Linked DNA regions of Callithrix jacchus. The protein of the gene in region 1 interacts with the protein of each later gene in a pairwise test. Links are inferred from orthologs where the notes say so. Each region holds a gene or a part of one and is shown on either strand. Other genes may lie near its edges. The genes, in order: CCDC184, STX11, PBLD, PIN1 and GPANK1.

Region 1 (4,270 bases):
CAAGGGAGTAGACTAGAGCTGTCAGTCAAGCTCTCTGGGGAACTCCTTACCCGGGTTCTCCGCTAGAGGCCTGAGGCAGTTACTGTGGTTTCCCTTTGTGATGTGTCACTGTTTCCAGAGATCCCAGGCAATCCCTCCAGAACAATACCCCCACCCCACTCCTTCCACGGAGCAGGTGCAGTACCTGGCATTCCAGGACCCAGATTCGGAAATCATTCTCCCAGAGGCCAGATGCTTCACTGAAAAGATATCACCTGCCCATTTGGAGTTCTGGATACTAAAAACCCATGTTAGCATGGGAATCTCAACACTTACCACCTCCTTCCCCAGGGCAGCTTGAGGTCAAGGTCCAGGACAGAAAGGAAAGCAGGTAGGGTTGGCAATGCCTGTCCCAACCAGAGCAGACAGTCAACTCCTTCAATTGGAGGCAAAGAGAGAGGAGGGAAGGCATGGTCCCTGCAGTTCCCACTAAGCCCCACCCTGATATTCCCCTAGTACTAGTCAGCAAGAAGGGGAGATGACGCCTTTTTTATTAAGATTAATACCAAGGAAAGCATTGAGAAGGAATACACAAAGGAGGGGAGGGCACACAGTCACCACTTGAGGAGATGGGAGGGTCGCACATCAGTAAAGGAACCTCAGGACAGCCACATGCACCATGCCCTGGTTGGGGGAAGAGGGAGGGGAAAGCGCCATGATAGCTTGGAGCTCACAGAAGGGTCTGAAGCCCCCTGAACCTAACACCAGAGCCACAAGCCCTGCCCCTCAGGGCTCACACACTACTACACAAGTGGACACACAGAACACACACAAGACATTATGGAGGCAACACCGAGAGGCAGCGGGCGGGGACATATTGACAGAAAAAGGAACTGAAGTTAAGCAGATGTAGCCAGGAGAGACAGTTTATGGCTGCGGCCCCAAGAGTCCCTCAAACGTCCCCTAAATCTGGGCTGCTGCTGAGCACCCCTGAGTCTCTGCCTGTGAACCGGGCTCTTTGTTCTCTCTGCCCCAGTGAGTGGAAAAGCTACCCCAGATGAAGTCAGTGACAAGGCAGGATCCGCTCTGCATGCAGAATCCTAGAGGTTGAGCTATTATGTCTTCATGCACATTCACAGCCAGCTCCTCCCAGCCCAGGGGCCCTTGGAACCCCATTCACCAGGATTCCCAGGGCTGCGGTTCCCTCCTCAGGCTTCCTTTACCAATCAGCAGCCGCAGAGGTCCGTGAAGGGGAGAGGCTTCTGCAGAGCACTGAATATCTTGGATTTCGGCAGAAGGGTAAATTTCCTGTTGCCAGAACAGAATACCCCCAAGTCCTTAATTTCTAGGTAAATCGTTAGAGATTATTTGCCGTGGTCCTAGATAAGTCCTTTTTCAGAATAGAAAAAGCAGAAATTTATTTACACAATTCAGGGGTCGTCCTGTTGTCTGGGGAGGGGGAAAGGACAGGACAGGGGACGGATGGGAGTCCAGAGGTGGGCGCGTCCTCTCCCGGAACCTCACCTTTCCGCAGTTTGCTGTAATCTGCTTAGCTGGGCAGAAAGAATTATTCATGCTCCCCAAGTCCTTCGCCCTACAAATCCTTCCTCGAGGGAGCCTCTCTCTGCCTGACCCACAAGAGCAGCTGTCCAAGCGAAGCGTGCCGCACCGCGCCGTTCGGTCCCCAAGGCCAGCCCGGGAAGGTGGTGCCCCGCGGAGTCCCCTCACAGGGACGCCTCGCCCTCCAGTTGCAGCAGGGTAATGTCGGGCAGGTCGAGGGGCTCCACGAGTGGCCCGTCCCCCTCAAGGAGACCAGCACAGGGGCTCTCGGGGCGCTCACAGTGACTGGTGGGTGTGGCGGGACTGGGCATCTCCTTCTCTTCTTCGTCGTCCTCCTCGTCCTCGGGGTCGCCGCCCAGCAAGCCGCTGTCCCCGATCCCCGGCGACGGAGTGCCCGGCTCTCGGGGGTCGCTCCGGAAGCTCCCGCTGCCGCCGACCACGCCCAGGCCGCCCTGGCGGGGCGCCGTGGTCATGATCTGGCACATGGAGACGATGGCTCGCTGGTTGGCGCACACGTCGTCCGAGAGCACCTGGATGTGCGAGGCCTGCTCGTCCAGGGCGCCCCTCATGGCCCTCACGTCCTCAAACAGGGCCTGCAGCTGGGCTTTCAGGTGCTCCATCAGCTCCTTCATGCCGCCGTTGTACTCCCCGGAGATCACGTCCCCCACGGCCGGCACGGCGGACACCTCCAGGGGCGCTGGCATGTCGCCGCCGTCCTTGGTCCTGATCTCCAGCAGACCGTCCTCCATGGAGTGGCAGAAGCGGTGGCGGCGGCTCCGGGTCGCGTCCTGCCCGGCCTCGGGGTGGGGGTGGGGGGGGAGAGGTCCCGGGAGGGGCGGGGAGGAGCCGAGGGAAGCGGAGGCCCCCGAGACGGGCGGGGAGCCCACGTGAGAGCCGAGTCCCGGGCAGAGGGCGCGGGCGGGATCGCGGGAGGCCGAGGAGAGGCGGCGGGGCGAGGGGCCCGGAGAGGGTCCCGGAGCCGGCGTCTCTTGGGCTCGCCCCGGGACGAGAGCGCCCTGCCCCGCCCGGCCTCCCGGATCGCCGCCGTCAGCGCCGCCCTCTGGACGCCACGAGCAGAGCGCCCGCCGGCTCCGTGGGTCACAGACGCGCTCGCCGAGGGGCCCGGGGCGAGGCTGAGGCCAGCGGCGCGTCGGGCTCGGGACTCCCCCAGGCACCAACGGGCAGTGCCCGGAGTGTGGCGGCAGCAGCTGGGGCGGGTCACCCGGAGGCGCCGCGGATGCTCCTGGTTTCCAAGGCGACGCACGGCACGTACGTGACGTCTGTCTCCATGGTAACCAGGAAGTGGAGAGGAAAGGGAGCCGGCCGGAGGCTGCAGTGGGCTCTGGAGCCCGCACGAGGGGTGGGGGAGGCGGAGGGGGCGCTGCAGAGGCTTCGGCCCAGGCCGGGAGGAGCGGGCGCCTGCAGGGTTTAGTGGGAAGCGTGAGAGAGCCGTTCGCTGCAGACACCTCCGCGTCCCGGAGAGATCGGCCCTCCCCTAACGGAGGGCGAGGCCCAGCGCGACTGCCCTGAAGGATTTTTGCAGCCCTCAGTCCTTTCCCAGAGGACGGCGCTAAAGTAGGGTCCTGCCTCCCTGTCCTGCAGCGGTGCTCAGGAGGGCGGAGGGGCAGCGAGGCTGATGCCGGCCGTCCCAGAGTTGGGCTGGGCGTGCTGGCGCTCCGGAGCCGGCCCCACCAGGCCTGGCGGTGCAGAGGCAGGAGGAGGGCACTACGGAGCTTTCCGCAGTAAATCAGCCCTGTCTCTACAGAAAGCCTGTCTCTACCGGAGCCGGGGAAGGACGGGACTCCCTTCTTTGTGGGACCCTGCTGCCCCCACCCAAGTCCCCGGGAGTCTGCCCGGATGGGGAGGCCAAGTCCTTAAGTTTGGAGAATGAAAGCTCCGTAAGGGCGAGATTTTCGTCCCCGCTGCTCCCTCCATCACGGAATCCCCAGCTCCTAAAATAGTGCCTGGCACCTAGTATATAGATGCTTAATATAGTGATTGAATGAAAACTTTACCAAAAACCACCAAGTCCCCTGCTGTCATCCAGAACTCTCCAAGCCAATCGTAGTGGGTTTTAGGAGACCCGAATTCAGTTTCGTTTCCGCCACTTATTCATTCAGAGACCTTAGCCACATCATTCGCCTCATCTGTTAGGGAATTGGACTGGATAATCTGCAATCTCATTTCTAATTCTGAATAACACTCTGCAGCATCTCACAGGTGAGAAGGTAAACAGACCGCTGGCCGTTGTGTGGAGGGGATGAATGGAGGGACTGCGTGTTAGAGTAATTCCCGCTCTCTCTTTCAGTGCCCAAGTTCAGACCTACACTGAGTGTCCCCAACCTTTGTGACAACCCCTTTCCCTATTTAAGGGGTGGAGCAGGAAGGGCGGAGGAAGAAGAAAAATGGTCTTTAATATATGTAGATGATACCAGATTGAGAAGGAATGGGCACCTGGGCGGAGCACACCAGTTAATAATGATCCTAGGAAATTAGGGAAGACAAGTGATCAGAAACCAGAAATGAAATTCGCAAGAATGAATCTGGGGAAGAGAAACAAACTGTATCACTTCAAGATAGAGAAGAACTAGGTAGAGGTGAGTGTTTTGTAAATTGGCGATTCGGCAACAGCAAATGTGTTACCTTGGGTTTTCCCTGGTTATGTGCTTGGTGATGAAGATGAAGCTGGCCCAGGGAAACTTTAATGACACTAGAGGACTGTTTGGCCTAT
Region 2 (2,776 bases), on another chromosome or scaffold:
TTCCCAGACGGGGACGATGAGTTTGACTCGCCCCACGAGAACATTGTGTTCGAGACGGACCACATCCTGGAGTCCCTGTACCGAGACATCCAGGACATCCAGTATGAAAACCAGCTGCTGGTGGCCGACGTGAAGCGGCTGGGAAAGCAGAACGCCCGATTCCTCACGTCCATGCGGCGCCTCAGCAGCATCAAGCGCGACACCAACTCCATCGCCAAGGCCATCAAGGCCCGGGGCGAGGTCATCCACCGCAAGCTGCGCGCCATGAAGGAGCTGAGCGAGGCGGCCGAGGCCCAGCACGGCCAGCACTCGGCGGCGGCGCGTATCTCGCGGGCACAGTACAACGCGCTCACCCTCACCTTCCAGCGTGCCATGCACGACTACAACCAGGCCGAGATGAAGCAGCGCGACAACTGCAAGATCCGCATCCAGCGCCAGCTGGAGATCATGGGCAAGGACGTCTCGGGCGACGAGATCGAGGACATGTTCGAGCAGGGCAAATGGGACGTGTTCTCCGAGAACCTGCTGGCCGATGTGAAGGGCGCGCGGGCCGCCCTCAACGAGATCGAGAGCCGCCACCGTGAGCTGCTGCGCCTGGAGAGCCGCATCCGTGACGTGCACGAGCTCTTCTTGCAGATGGCGGTGCTGGTGGAGAAGCAGGCCGACACCCTGAACGTCATCGAGCTCAACGTGCAGAAGACGGTGGACTACACCGGCCAGGCCAAGGCGCAGGTGCGCAAGGCCGTGCAGTACAAGAAGAAGAACCCCTGCCGGACCATCTGCTGTTTCTGCTGTCCCTGCCTCAAGTAGCAGGCCGGCCCGGGCCGCCGCCACCCATCCTAGACCCTAGAGAGCGCTGGGAAGGACGCACCAAGAGTTGCCCCAACTCTTAACGGAACTCAGTCTTTAAAGAAGAATCGCAGGGTCCAAGAATTGCAAGCCAGCCCATGCTTGAAAGGATAGTTAGCACACTGTCCGATGGTTCTTCAGTAAAGACGGATTCCTACAAAGTTGTGCAATGTCATTATATGATACCCTTGCACTCTTACCCTCTTGACGGAAGCCAAGAAAAGGACTGACGTTGTATCTGACTGTAGGGTGAATGTCTGAGGCCTGCCTCCTAATAAAGACTCAAGGAGGAAGTCAGTTGTGCGTCTGAAAATAGAATGGCCTCATGATGGAAACTTCAGTTTTTACGTTGTATAGAAAATTCCCTGGTTCTGGCTCACGCCTGTAATCCCAGCACTTTGGGAGGCTGAGGCGGGTGGATCACGAGGTCAACAGATCGAGACCATCCTGGTCAACATGGTGAAACCCCGTCTCTACTAAAAATACAAAAAAATTAGCTGGGCACAGTAGTGCGTGCCTGTAATCCCAGCTACTTAGGAGGCTGAGGCAGGAGAATTGCCTGAACCCAGGAGGCGGAGGTTGCGGTGAGCCGAGATCGTACCATTGCACTCCAGCCTGGGTAACAAGAGCGAAACTCCGTCTCAAAAGAAAAAAAAAAAAAAAAGAAAGAAAGAAAGAAAGAAAATTCCCTGGTTCTGTTCCATTTTGAGCAAAATTGACCTTGGGAAAAACCATGTTCTTCCTTTCCGATTCTTCATCCGGTCTATGCTATACAATTCCTCCCCAAGGGTAGACCTTATTTCTGCTCATTTCCCCTACTTATTAAAATCACACCAAACACTTAGTATTTCCTTATCTCTTTCACTTTTTAAATATCTTTCACCAGGTTATATTTTGGGATTATTTTTCCAAATGTTTTTAAGCACTGAATATCGAACAAGCACTCAAAATGAAGTACCAGTCGTGTTTTATGTATTTTTCACTGATAAAAATTATTTAACATTTATCTTTTTACTTGATTACATATGCACATATATATGTAAATGTAAGGTACTAATATTCACAAATGTGTGTATATAATGATCAATTGGTTTAGCTTCTTTTTTGTAAGTATGGTATATAAATTTCAAGAAGAACACCTTCTGGCTCTTGGTATTGATTTGCTTGTTTTGAGTCTGTTTCTCTCCAGTTTTCCCCTTTTAAGTCAAAACTTCATATTAAACAACTCTGCGTTGGTTATGGTGGTAGACAGGTGTTGAAAGCTGAAAATGTATACAGAGCTAGAGACAACTAACATTATTGGAAATACTGCTTTTGTTCCACTGTGGACCATTCTTTTCATGCATTGAAATGAAGTAATTTAAAGTAAAAGAATTTTGTTTTCTAAGCAAGACTAATAAACATTACATTATGAATATATTTTTATACATTTGTGTCGACCATTTAGTTTACTTTCTTAATTACTGTTAAATTTTTTTTTCTTTTTTCTTTTTTCTGGGGGTGGAGGCTGGGCAGGGGCCAATTTTTTTTTTTCTTTTCTTTTTTTACCTTTTGAAACAGGGTCTCCCCCTGTCACCCAGGCTGAAGTGCAGTGGCATAATCATGGCTTGCTGCAGCCTTAAGCTCTCAGGTTCACGTGATCCTCCTACCTCAGCCGGCAAATAATTAAGACTACAGTTATGTGCCGTCATGCCCAGCTAATTTTTGTATTTTCTGTAGACACAGGGTTTGGCATGTTGCCCAGGCTGATCTCAAACTTGTGAGCTCAAGCAATCCGCCTACCTTGGCCTCCCAAAATGCTGAGATTGCAGGCCTGAGCCACTGCTCCTGGCCAGAATTTTTTTCTACTATCTACTTGAGACTGCCACACCTGGACAGAACTGAGTGGAGAGAGAAAAGAATGAAAAACTCAAAGAATTACCAAGAG
Region 3 (3,517 bases), on another chromosome or scaffold:
TTGCAGGGGTTCATTTTCTCTGCTAGACATTAATTTTCCCTGTCTGTACCATGTTAAAGGGTTAATAATCGTTTGTCTTTGTGATGGGCAGGCAGTAGTGAGGCTGGTTAAAGCATGACTTTGAGCCACTCAAATAAAAAGCTAACATGTATTAAGTACTTACTATGTGTTGGGCACTGGGTTATTTCTTTCTCTCACTCAACTCTCCTCTCTGAAGTCTCTCTCTGGGTGGGCTGGGGCACAATGGCTCATGCCTGTCATTCTAGCACTTTGGGAGGCTGATATGGGTGCATTCATTGCCTGAGCTCAGGAGTTCAAGACCAGCTTGGGCAACTTGGTGAAACTCCATCTCTACTAAAATACAAAAAGTTAGCCAGGCTTGCTTGTGCGTTCTTTAGTCCCAGGTACTCAGGGAGGCCAAGGTGGGAGAATGGCTTAGAACCTGGGAGGCGGAGGTTGCAGTGAGCTGAGATCATGCCACTGCACTCTAGCCTGGGTGACAGAGTAAGCCTCCGTCTCAAAACACACAAGTGCGTGTGCCCACACACACACACACACACACACACCCCAAACCTGCCTTTTTTTTTTTTTTTTTTTTTTTTTGAGACAGAGTCTCGCTCTTTCACCCATGCTGAAGTGCAGTGGTACCATCTCAGCTCACTGCAACCTCTGCTTCCCGGGTTCAAGCCGTTCTACTGTCTCAGCCTCCTGAGAATCTGGGATTACAGGTGCGCACCACCATACCTGGCAAATTTTTGTATTTTTAGTAGAGACAGGGTTTCGCCATGTTGGCCAGGCTAGTCTCCAACTCCTGACCTCAAGTAACCCACCCACCTCGGGCTCCCAAAGTGCTGGGATTACAGGCGTGAGCCATCGTGCCCAGCCCCTGCCAGGATTTTTATGTCAGCTAATAGTTTTAAAAATCATGACTGATTTTTCACAGTAGTCACTGTTTTATGCCCTGTACAATTATATAGAACATGTTTCAAAAGATTTTGAATCAAAGAGTATTTAATTTGCATAACTCGGAGAAGTGAATTATGAATTTACTAATATAAAATTATTATTCTTCTGGGTTTCAGGAGATCAAGAGCAGTAAATTTGGCCAAAACAAAGATGCATTTGCTTTGAAAATTCTTTAAAATTCAAAATCAAACTAGTAAGCATTTTATTGATTAAAAATGGATTTTCCTTCTCAATAGGAAAACATATTTCAGGTCCACTTTTTTCCTTGAGTTAAGAGGAATGTGTGTGTGTGTGTGTGTGTGTGCATGCGTGCGTGTGCGTGTGTGTTTGTATGCATGTATATATCTTCACAATAAACTTTGACTTAAGTGCTATTATTCCCATCTTAAAGGTTTGGAAACTGAGGCCATAAGAGTAAATGGCTTGCCCACTTTTACACTGCTACTAGGGACTCACCCAGGATAGAAATTCAATTCTGTTGCCGGTGCAGTGGCTCGCACCTATAATCCCAGCACTTTGGGAGGCTTAGGCAGTCTGATTGCCTGAGCTCAGGAGTTTGAGACCAGCCTGGGCAACACGGTGAAAGCCTCTCTCTACTAAAATAATACAAAAAATAAGTTGGGCATGGTGGCGTGCACCTGTAGTCCCAGTTACTTGGGAGGTTGAGGCAAGAGTATTGTTTGAACCTGGGAGGCAGAGATTGCAGTGAGCCGAGATCACGCCACTGCTCTCCAGCCTGGGAGACAGAGCAAGACTCTGTCTCAAAAAAACAAAAACAAAGAAAACCAAATTCAATTCTGTTTTCAAACCCACATAAGTTTTTAACATTTTATTTTGAAAAATTAACCTACAGAAAAGTTTCAAGAATGATACAATGAACATGCATATTCCCTTCCTCTATATTCACCAGTTGTTACTATTTAAAAAAATTTTTTTTCTAGACTCAAGGTCTTGTTATGTTGCCCAGGCTGGTCTCCAACTCCTGGGCATAAGCGATCCACTAGCCTCAGCCTCCCAAAATGCTGGGATTATAGGCATGAGCCACTGTGCCTGGCCAGTTGTTACTATTGTCCACATTTGTAAAACCCTCATCCTTTTTCTTTTCTTTTTTGTTTTTGAGACAGAGTCTTGCTCTGTCACCCAGTCTGGAGTGCAGTGGCACAATCATGGCTCACTGCAGCCTTGATCTCTGGGCTCAAGCGATCCTCCCGCCTCAGCCTCCTGTGTAGCTGGGACCATAGGCAAGCACCACCATGGCTGGCTAAACTTTTTATTTTTATTTTTAATAGAGACTGGTGGGTGGGAGTGTCTCTCTATGTTGCCCAGTGGTCTTGAACTCCTGGTCTCAAGCAATCCTCCTACTTTGGCCTCCCAAAGTGTTAGGATTACAGGCATAAGACACCATGCCCCGCTAAAGCCCTCATTCTTTTTCTTTATTTTAAGTATTTTATTTAAAGAGACAGGGTCTCACTGACTGTCTTGTTACTCAGGCTGGCCTTGAACTCCTATACACAAGCTACCCTCCTGCCTCAGCCTCCCAAAGTGCTGGGATTACAGGCATGAGCCACCATGCTTAGCTAAACTCTCATGCTTAATCACTGTACTGTTTATTAGGTATATGGTGGTCTTGGGATATTATATGATCCATCTGTTTAATTTCTTCATTTGTAAGGGCATAAAAAATTACATTGAGGGTTTTTAAAATGGGATTAAGTGAAATAATATACTTATTTTTTCTACAAATGTTTATTAATCTCCTACTGTGCTGGGATGAATACCAGACGTTGTTCCAGGTCCGGACAAAGCAAGACAGCACAGTCCATACCCAAACAGAACTTAGAATCAGAGGTGGGGAGGCCAGACAGTGAAGGGCACACAAGGCAATTTCAGGATATCTAAGCACTGGAGAGGAGACAACACCTTTAGATACAGTGGTCTGGGAAGGCTTACTGGAGGAGGTGACCCCTGGCCAGAAGCCCTTCCCACAGAAGGGAATAAATGCAAAGACAGGGGAAGAACGGTCCAGCCTGCCCAGAGTGAGTGCTGAGCATCTCTTTCACCAACATAGCAAGAGACTGGGGTACTGCCTTTTGTGGAGATTGTTTTTAGAAGAGAGCACACTTTGTCAGCTAGACTAGATCTTAATTTGACAAAAGATAGGCTAGGCCAGCCAGTTTTTCACAATCTATTCCAGATTGCACATTTATAACTCTTCTTCACAGGGTATGGCAAGCATGGATTTCTGAGAATCAGTCTTTATAAAAGGTGCCTTGAATTCCTTGGTAATGATTTCCTTTTAAGCATGTTACTTTTATTATTAACAAACTGCTTTTTAAATTAACGGTAGTTGCTGTCCAAAGGAAGTCTGATCTGTGTTTCTGAAATCTCAATAATCTTTTGTTTCTAATTAAGGAATTGGATGAAGACATGCATCAGAAAATTGCAAGGGAAATGAACCTCTCTGAAACTGCTTTTATCCGAAAAATGCACCCGACAGACAACTTTACACAAAGTAAATATGCATTTTTTTTTAACTGCTCTGTCGCCCAGG
Region 4 (2,871 bases), on another chromosome or scaffold:
GGGGGGTAGGGTATGCAGGCATAACCACTTCTCCATCCAACAGACCCACAGCTGACTGAACAGGGATGGGGATCAGGCAGGCCACACCCACAGCCCCAACACTGGTGGGGGACCCCATCTCCTCACCACCCACCCCAGGATCCCCTGTCCCACTTCAGGCACTGGAAGCTGTGTCTGCTCCCATCCCCCTCCCTGCAGGAGCCCCCTCCAGTCCCGGAGGGCCCTGTTGTCATGGTAACCACAGCTGCAGTGGGTGCTGGGCTGGACCCATGAACCTTCCAGAAGCACCTGAGATGCCAGGGAAGCAGGTATCAGGGTGCTGGGTGGCTGAACAGTGCCCACGTCCCTGAGAGCCAGCTGCTGGGACTCCCCCTGGCCCAGGGCAAGGGGGAGCCTCTTGAGGGTAAACGCATAGCTGGGACCCTTAGGATGGGGGATTGTGATCCCCTCCCAGTGACATGGTGCCCCCTATGCTTCCCTAAAGAGAAATGAGACATAAGAGAGCGGAGTAGTGGTTCTAGGTGTTTAATTGGGGTAAAAGGGTACTGCACGGTTGCTCAGAGGGCCCACTGCTGGGCCGCACGAGTGTTTGCTTTTGCAACTGAACAGAGGAGCGTGGCCTAACTAGAAACAACTCGGCCCTCGAGTCTGCCTCCAGGACCTGGGGAAGACACGGGGCGGCTCTGCTGACCAGGCCTTCTCTTTGGAACACCCCTCCCACCACACTGCCCTGGTTCTGGGCACCTTCCACCCCTGCTGAAGTCAATTCCTTAAGGGAGAGCCTGGCAGTCGCAGCCCCAACTGGGAATGGACGGGGAGTGGGGACTCTAGGGCCCCCAATCTGGAAGGGCCCCCTCCCAGCCATTTTGGGAACAATAAATACTGTTTGACGGTGGCAGGGAGTAGGGGGTTTGACCACTGGCCGGCAGGCAGTGGGGGAGCTGGCGGGCCCAGCCGCCCTGCCCCACCCAGAGGCCAGGCCTGGGCTCCCCACCCTCACTCTGTGCGGAGAATGATGTGGATGCCAGAATCCGTGAACACGGGCCCGCTCATCTCTCCCGTCCGCAGCGCAAATGAGGCATCTTCAAATGGCTTCTGCATCTGACCTGGGAGCCGGGAGGGATGGTGGGGTGTCAAGGCAGGGTTGTCAGAGGCCAGGATAAGGCAGGGCGGGTGGCAGCCACAATAGATGGGGCTCCTGACTGCGCTGAGCCTCACACTCGTCCACACTCATCCGTCACCATGTTTATTGCCGGTGCTGAGTGGTGGCCCAGCTGGGGGCGGCAGGGCCATTAAAGAGGCCCCAGGAAGCCCGAGGACAGCATGAAGGATGGCAGGCAGGGCTGCAGCCGCTGCTGCGCGTTTAGGGGTCGCTTCGGTAGTGAACTCATCTCCCTGGGCCTGGTTCCCAGCCCTGCCAGGTCATCTGTCCCACCAGCCTCCTCGGAGCAGGGGGGAAGCTGCTGGCCCCATTATGGACCCCCAACCCCCTCAGATGCATGCACCCCACACCCCAGCCTGGCCTCTCCCTGTTTGCAGACCCTGAGAAGGAAAAGGAGGATGCTTGGTCCTCTCTGCCCCTGATTTCCACTGTCCTGGCCAGACAGGCCTAAACTCAGGGCCACCTCCCCCCACCCAGAGGGATTCTGGGGAACATTCCCTGGGATTCTCAGGGAACCCAGCCTTAAACCCCCAAAGGAAGAGGCAGAGGACAGGACGCACCTGCCTTGGTGGGCCCGGGATAGAGACGATGCCAGGAAGAAAGCTCTGCAGCCCCCACCCTGTGTGGCCCCCGCCCTGCCCAGCAGAGCAGACTCTGAAGCCTGAGGAAGGGGCTGTGCTGCCACCTGCTGGACCCTGAAGGGCCATGTGGCACCCCGGATCCCAGTGCCCAGACCCTCCCAGCCTCTACCCCTTAGGGAGGAGAGGGTCCCCAGACCTGGTGAAGCCCATTCCTTGCGCACCTCTGCTGAAGGCGCCCAGGTCTCCCCTGGCCTTGGCTGAGCTGCAGTCGCTGAATTGTGAGGCCAGAGACTCAAAGTCCTCCTCTCCTGACTTGATCTTCTGGATGTAGCCTGCAGACATGGAATGGAATGGGAGTGCCAGGTCAGGGGCAGGGGCACCTGACCAAACGGGATGGAGGGCTCCAGAGCTGGGTGGGAGGGGGGCAGCACTTCACTTGGAAAACCTCCCCCTACAAGTGCACATGCGCCCCACAACCCTTCTCCTCACACACACTTGCACCCAGTCACACCTGTCCTCACCCAAGAAGATGCACCTTCATGTGCATCAGCACTTGGTGCACCCCACCAGTCATCCATGAGTCCTGCCACCCTGTGAGTCTCACACCCCTGCTCCCGCTGTCACTCTCACCATGTGCACGCACGCACGCGCGCGTGCACACACACGCGCGCGTGCACACACACACACACACACACACACACTTGAGGGAAAATCTATATCCAAGCTGGACAGGCCAGAGTGGGAGGCAGGGAGAGGCTGACCCAGGCAGGGGGCTGGGCCCCCGGGGTCCTCTGGGCAGAGGTAGGAGAGCTGTCCAGGGAGGGCCCAACACTGCCACAGCAGCCCTCCCATGCTGTTCCATCTGGGAAGAACAGCCTGGCACTGGGAAAGGCCTCCGAGGCACCCTGGTGGGCTTTGCAAGGGACACTCGAAGACTGTGGGTCCCAGGGTCCCAGAGGCAGGCGACAAAGCTCTTCTCCCAGCTTCCTACCTACAGTCTGCATGCTGGCAGAACTCAGGATGGCCCCTCCCTGTGTGGCCCAAACCAGCCCATCAGGTCTGAATCTCCAGGAGGAAGGGAAGGCCAGGGCTGGTGGAGGAAGGAGGAACAGGGCTGCCAGCAGAGGG
Region 5 (4,266 bases), on another chromosome or scaffold:
GTGCAGTGGCTAGTCACAGGTGCGATCCCACTACTGATCAGCACGGGAGTTTTGACCTGCTCCGTTTCTGACGTGGGCTGGTTCACCCTCCTTAGGCAACCTGGTGGTCCCCCACTCCCAGGAGGTCACCATATTGATGCCGAGTTTAGTGAGGACACCCAATCGGCATGGCACACTACAGCCTAGAACTCCTGGACTCAAGAGATCCTCCAGTCTTAGCCTCCCGAATAGCTGGGACTACAGGCAGGCGCCACCACACCCAGTATTTTACATGTATTAACCCACTGAATACTAACAACAATCCTTACTACCCCCATTTCTAAGATGGAAAACTAGGACATGTAGACATTAGGTTGTTTGCCCAAGTAAGTGGAATCAGGCTTTAAAGCCAAGGAGCTGCTGGGCATGGTAGCTCACGCCTATAATCCCAGCACTTTGGGAGGCCGAGGCAGATGGATCACCTAAGGTTGGGAGTTCAAGACCAACATGGAGAAACCCTGTCTCTACTAAAAGTAAAGAATTAGCTAGGTGTGGTGGAGCATGCCAGTAATACCAGCTACTCGGAGGCTGAGGCAGGAGAATCACTTGAACCCAGGAGGCAGAGGTTGTGGTGTGCCGAGATCACTGGGCAACAAGAGCGAAACTCTTGTCTCAAAAAAATAATAACATAAATCAATCCAGGGAGCTCACATTCATAACCACTTGACTACACCACCATGACAATTTACACATGACCATAAGGAAAGAACTCTTCAGCACTGTGCTGGGGCCTCTGGTGTGGAGTGGCTGAGAAAGGCAGAACACACTGAAACATGGGTCTGAACTAGCTTCCCCTCACCGGTTCTCTGTTCTCCTTGTCTCTCCATGGCTCTCTCTGACCATGCGAGCCACCTCAGGGAAACCAGCTTCTTCAGCGAGCTGAGCTGCATCCCTGCCCCCTAGTTCACAGACCCCCACCCAGGCAGCCCCACGGCCCAGGAGATAGCTCACAGCTGCCCCCTGGCCCGCTCGAGCAGCGCACATCAGTGGGGTCCACCAGAAGGCATCCCGAGCATTGATATTCCCCCCAGATCCTCCTGCTTCATGGGGCTCCAGCAGTCTCCTAAGTTCTGCTAGGTCCCCCTCCTGGGCTGCCCTCAGTATCTGCTGAGTCATCTTTTCCTCAGCCTCAAGGGATCTCCCTTGTCCATGTCTTCCTGATGGTCCTGCTGCCACTGCTTCTGCCGCAGCTGCCCTCATTATTCTTCTTTTCTTTCTCTTTCTTTCTCTGGCAGGTTCAGTCTGAGATCTCTGGGAGTCAGGAGCACTGCTCTCATCCCCAATCAGGGCCTCATAGAAAGCTCGGGCTGCAGCCCCATCCAGGGTGGACTCTGGCTCCTTGGGCTGTGGCTGCTGCTGCTGCCCATCCTTCCAGAGGTCGCTGGGGTCAGTGGCTGGGGTGAAGGTGATGAGGAAGGGCCGGGACATGGCTTTTGGGAGAAATGAGAAAATGAAACCAGGCAAGGGAAGGATGACACAAGCAAGCCAAGCTACTGGTGACCCCTGTAGCAACCAGAGTCTCCAGGGACATGCTGGGATGAGAAAAACTAGTCAAAAAACACCCTCCTGCCGCTAAAATGACGCCACAACTTAGGACCTTGCAGGGCCTAAGGGAAAGAGGTTTTCTGTAAAAACACAGAACCCTACAATAACCGACTCTGCTCCTTAGCAAAGGTTAATAAAACTCCATGAGACAGTTGTCCAGCGGTCCTGCGTCCCGCCCCCACTCCCACCCCCATCCTCACCAACAATAAATACCAGCCTCTTTCTGAAACCATTTTACCCCTCCGTAAAACACACATACCATTAAGAAAAAAATCAGCCTGTCCCTTTAAATCTTCCTCGATACCATTTTGGAGTTTTCTCCGAAACAGAAGTCACTCCCTAGGAAGATCTGGAGGACAGGCTCCAGTCTGCGATGCTGTGTAGCTTTCGTACGGCAAAATGGCACTATTCTAAACAGAAGAGTTGACACAATCAAACAGCCGCACGGCACGAAGACGCATGCGTGGCGACGACAACAACAACAAAAACCACAACCCACATTACTTGAGGGCTCAGGCGTGCGCAAAGCTCCCAGTTCAGTTTCCCGCGCTGGAACCTTTCCAATAGCAAACGCGCAAAGCTCTGCGCGCCCCGCTGGCGCGAGCACCAGGATCTGTCGGTTAGGGTTCTACTTTTACCTATACGCCCCCACAATGCCCTTCGCCTTCCTCAACGTGAACCGCCCCCCTCCCCGCCCCCTCGCTCCAAGTCCATTTTCTGGACCTGGGAATCCACTCTCCGTGTTAGGAAAGGCCCTCAGGAGGCGGAGGGAAACTTGTGGAATGCCGAGAAGCCGTGAAATGAAATAACGTCACGCCTGCCCCTCACCATTACTCTGACCAGGGTTCTAAGGTCACACTTAGAGCGTAAAAGGAGAAGTGCAAGGGGACGAGCGAAATGGCTGGCCCCACCTCAGGTTACCGCACTGGGCCGTTCTGGTTCTCACAACGCTCAGCTCAGCTCAGCCCAGCCCACCCAACCCAAGTCCCTACGCACGGAGCCAAACTGCACCTCTCGCCTCATGAGGCCAGAGCCGGGAGGGTAACAGGAGGCCAGTCAAGGGTGTCCGGCGGGACTGACTCTCACTAGGGGCTCAACAATCAATAAGGACCCAGCGGATTGGCCGGGGATGGGCCAGTCCCCTGGGCAGCAGCGCCCCGCTGCGCCGGAACTAGACGGGAACTGCGTGTCTCCCTCCTCTCCCCGCCCCATCTCGGCTTTTCTCCCAGTGAGCACACAACTATATTTCCCAGGCTCCCTGGCCCCAAACGTCATACCTGGCTTCCGCTTCCGGTGGCTTCTCGCTGTGCCCCGCCCGCAAGCGTCCTCCTCCGGGGCTTCGTGACAGCCAGGTCGTCCGCGGGTCTTCCTGGGATTGGTAGTTCGCTTTTCCTTCATTTCACCAGTTTCTCTTTCTACCTGGGACTCCGTGTCCCGGCATCCATCGCAGCACCTGACCCTTGGCGCTTGCGTGTTGCCCTCTTCCCCACCCTCCCCAATTTCCACTCCCCCCCACCCCACTTCTCTTGCCGCGGTCGGGTCCGCGGCCTGCGCTGTAGCGGTCGCCGCCGTTCTTTGGAACTAGCGACTTCCCTACCCCACCCCAGTCCTGGTCCCCGTCCAGGCGGTGAGTCTGAGGTCGTCGCTACTCAGAGTCTCTTGTTGGGAGCAGCACATGGGGTCTCCGTACTTTGATGTGGGGGCGGGGGAGGAAGCGACCAGGTCCGGCACAAAGGAGGGAGAGGTGGCCTGAGGAGCGGAGGCAAGATGTGTGGACTCCAGTGAAAGGGACTTGACGGTCGCTCCAGCCCATAAGAAGAGGAGGGGCCCGGCTCTTGCTAGAGAATGATAAACTTCGAAACGCTTGGGAAAGGCGCCGGGGTCATGCAGAGAGCTGCAGTGGTAGGGAGCCTGAGCCGAGGTCCGTGCTGGAGGTGACACAAAGTAGAGAGGGCCCTGGCCTTCGGGAGCTCCAGGGATGTGGGTCAGGCTGGTGGGTCAAAGTATCTGTTGGGTTCTCTCAAGTGGTGGGACCCCAAAGTGTGTTTAACCTCAAAGAAAAGGAGCTGAGACGTAAATTAGAGGAGCTGGAGAGGAGTGTTTCAGAGTTTGGGATCCTTTAAAAAAGGACGGCTCCAAATTCTAAAGTCTCCCGTGGTTGGAGGGCCGAATGTGGGAGGAGGGAGGATACCAGAGGCAAGGAGGGAGAACTTGAGCTTTACTGACATTCTTCGTTTTCCAGCTGACGTGAAGATGAGCAGCTCAGAGGAGGTGTCCTGGATTTCCTGGTTCTGTGGGCTCCGTGGCAATGAATTCTTCTGTGAAGTGAGTTCTCTTCAACCCCCCTCCTTGCCAGCTCCACATAGATTCCCACTAGACGTTTCTCCACATATTCCACTTCCTCATCGTTCTCTTATATGCTACTTGAAAACTTCCCATCAATGAAGAGTCCCCTCAGTAACCCCCGGCAAATCTGTGCTAAAGTGGCAAAATTGGGGCCTGTCCCAACTCTGCCATCCTCCAGCAATATAACGTTGGACTAGGCAATTTGTGACTTTCTCTTTTTTTCTTTTTGAGACCGAGTCTTGCTCTGTCACCCAGGCTGGAGTGTAGTGGTGTGATCTCACCTCAATGCAACCTCTGCCTTCCAGGTTCAAGTGATTCTCCTGCTCCAGCCTCCCA

What was found.
Region 2: the proteins of CCDC184 (region 1) and STX11 interact in binary tests that used the Homo sapiens proteins (3 or more experiments, as listed by UniProt). The two-hybrid records come from large-scale screens. The link is inferred for Callithrix jacchus from reciprocal best matches to the Homo sapiens genes CCDC184 and STX11.
Region 3: the proteins of CCDC184 (region 1) and PBLD interact in binary tests that used the Homo sapiens proteins (3 or more experiments, as listed by UniProt). The two-hybrid records come from large-scale screens. The link is inferred for Callithrix jacchus from reciprocal best matches to the Homo sapiens genes CCDC184 and PBLD.
Region 4: the proteins of CCDC184 (region 1) and PIN1 interact in binary tests that used the Homo sapiens proteins (3 or more experiments, as listed by UniProt). The two-hybrid records come from large-scale screens. The link is inferred for Callithrix jacchus from reciprocal best matches to the Homo sapiens genes CCDC184 and PIN1.
Region 5: the proteins of CCDC184 (region 1) and GPANK1 interact in binary tests that used the Homo sapiens proteins (3 or more experiments, as listed by UniProt). The two-hybrid records come from large-scale screens. The link is inferred for Callithrix jacchus from reciprocal best matches to the Homo sapiens genes CCDC184 and GPANK1.

What each region holds. Positions count from the first base shown.
Region 1 is NC_133510.1:2,507,382-2,511,651, reverse strand, and holds CCDC184 (coiled-coil domain-containing protein 184), read right to left. Parts: upstream 2,764-4,270; 5' UTR 2,289-2,763; coding exon 1,704-2,288; 3' UTR 510-1,703; downstream 1-509.
Region 2 is NC_133505.1:150,934,609-150,937,384, forward strand, and holds the end of STX11 (syntaxin-11), read left to right. Parts: coding exon 1-810; 3' UTR 811-2,268; downstream 2,269-2,776. UniProt on the Homo sapiens protein: SNARE that acts to regulate protein transport between late endosomes and the trans-Golgi network.
Region 3 is NC_133513.1:62,110,030-62,113,546, forward strand, and holds part of PBLD (phenazine biosynthesis-like domain-containing protein), read left to right. Parts: intron 1-3,378; coding exon 3,379-3,478; intron 3,479-3,517.
Region 4 is NC_133523.1:9,042,813-9,045,683, reverse strand, and holds the end of PIN1 (peptidyl-prolyl cis-trans isomerase NIMA-interacting 1), read right to left. Parts: intron 2,076-2,871; coding exon 1,965-2,075; coding exon of another isoform or gene 1,940-1,964; intron 1,107-1,939; coding exon 997-1,106; 3' UTR 510-996; downstream 1-509. UniProt on the Homo sapiens protein: Peptidyl-prolyl cis/trans isomerase (PPIase) that binds to and isomerizes specific phosphorylated Ser/Thr-Pro (pSer/Thr-Pro) motifs.
Region 5 is NC_133505.1:39,167,664-39,171,929, forward strand, and holds the start of GPANK1 (G patch domain and ankyrin repeat-containing protein 1), read right to left. Parts: upstream 2,812-4,266; 5' UTR 2,581-2,811; exon of another isoform or gene 2,501-2,580; coding exon of another isoform or gene 2,482-2,500; exon of another isoform or gene 2,084-2,481; intron 1,995-2,083; 5' UTR 1,844-1,994; intron 1,470-1,843; 5' UTR 1,468-1,469; coding exon 839-1,467; intron 1-838. Other genes in the region: CSNK2B (casein kinase II subunit beta), read left to right, coding at 3,430-3,505, 3,827-3,909.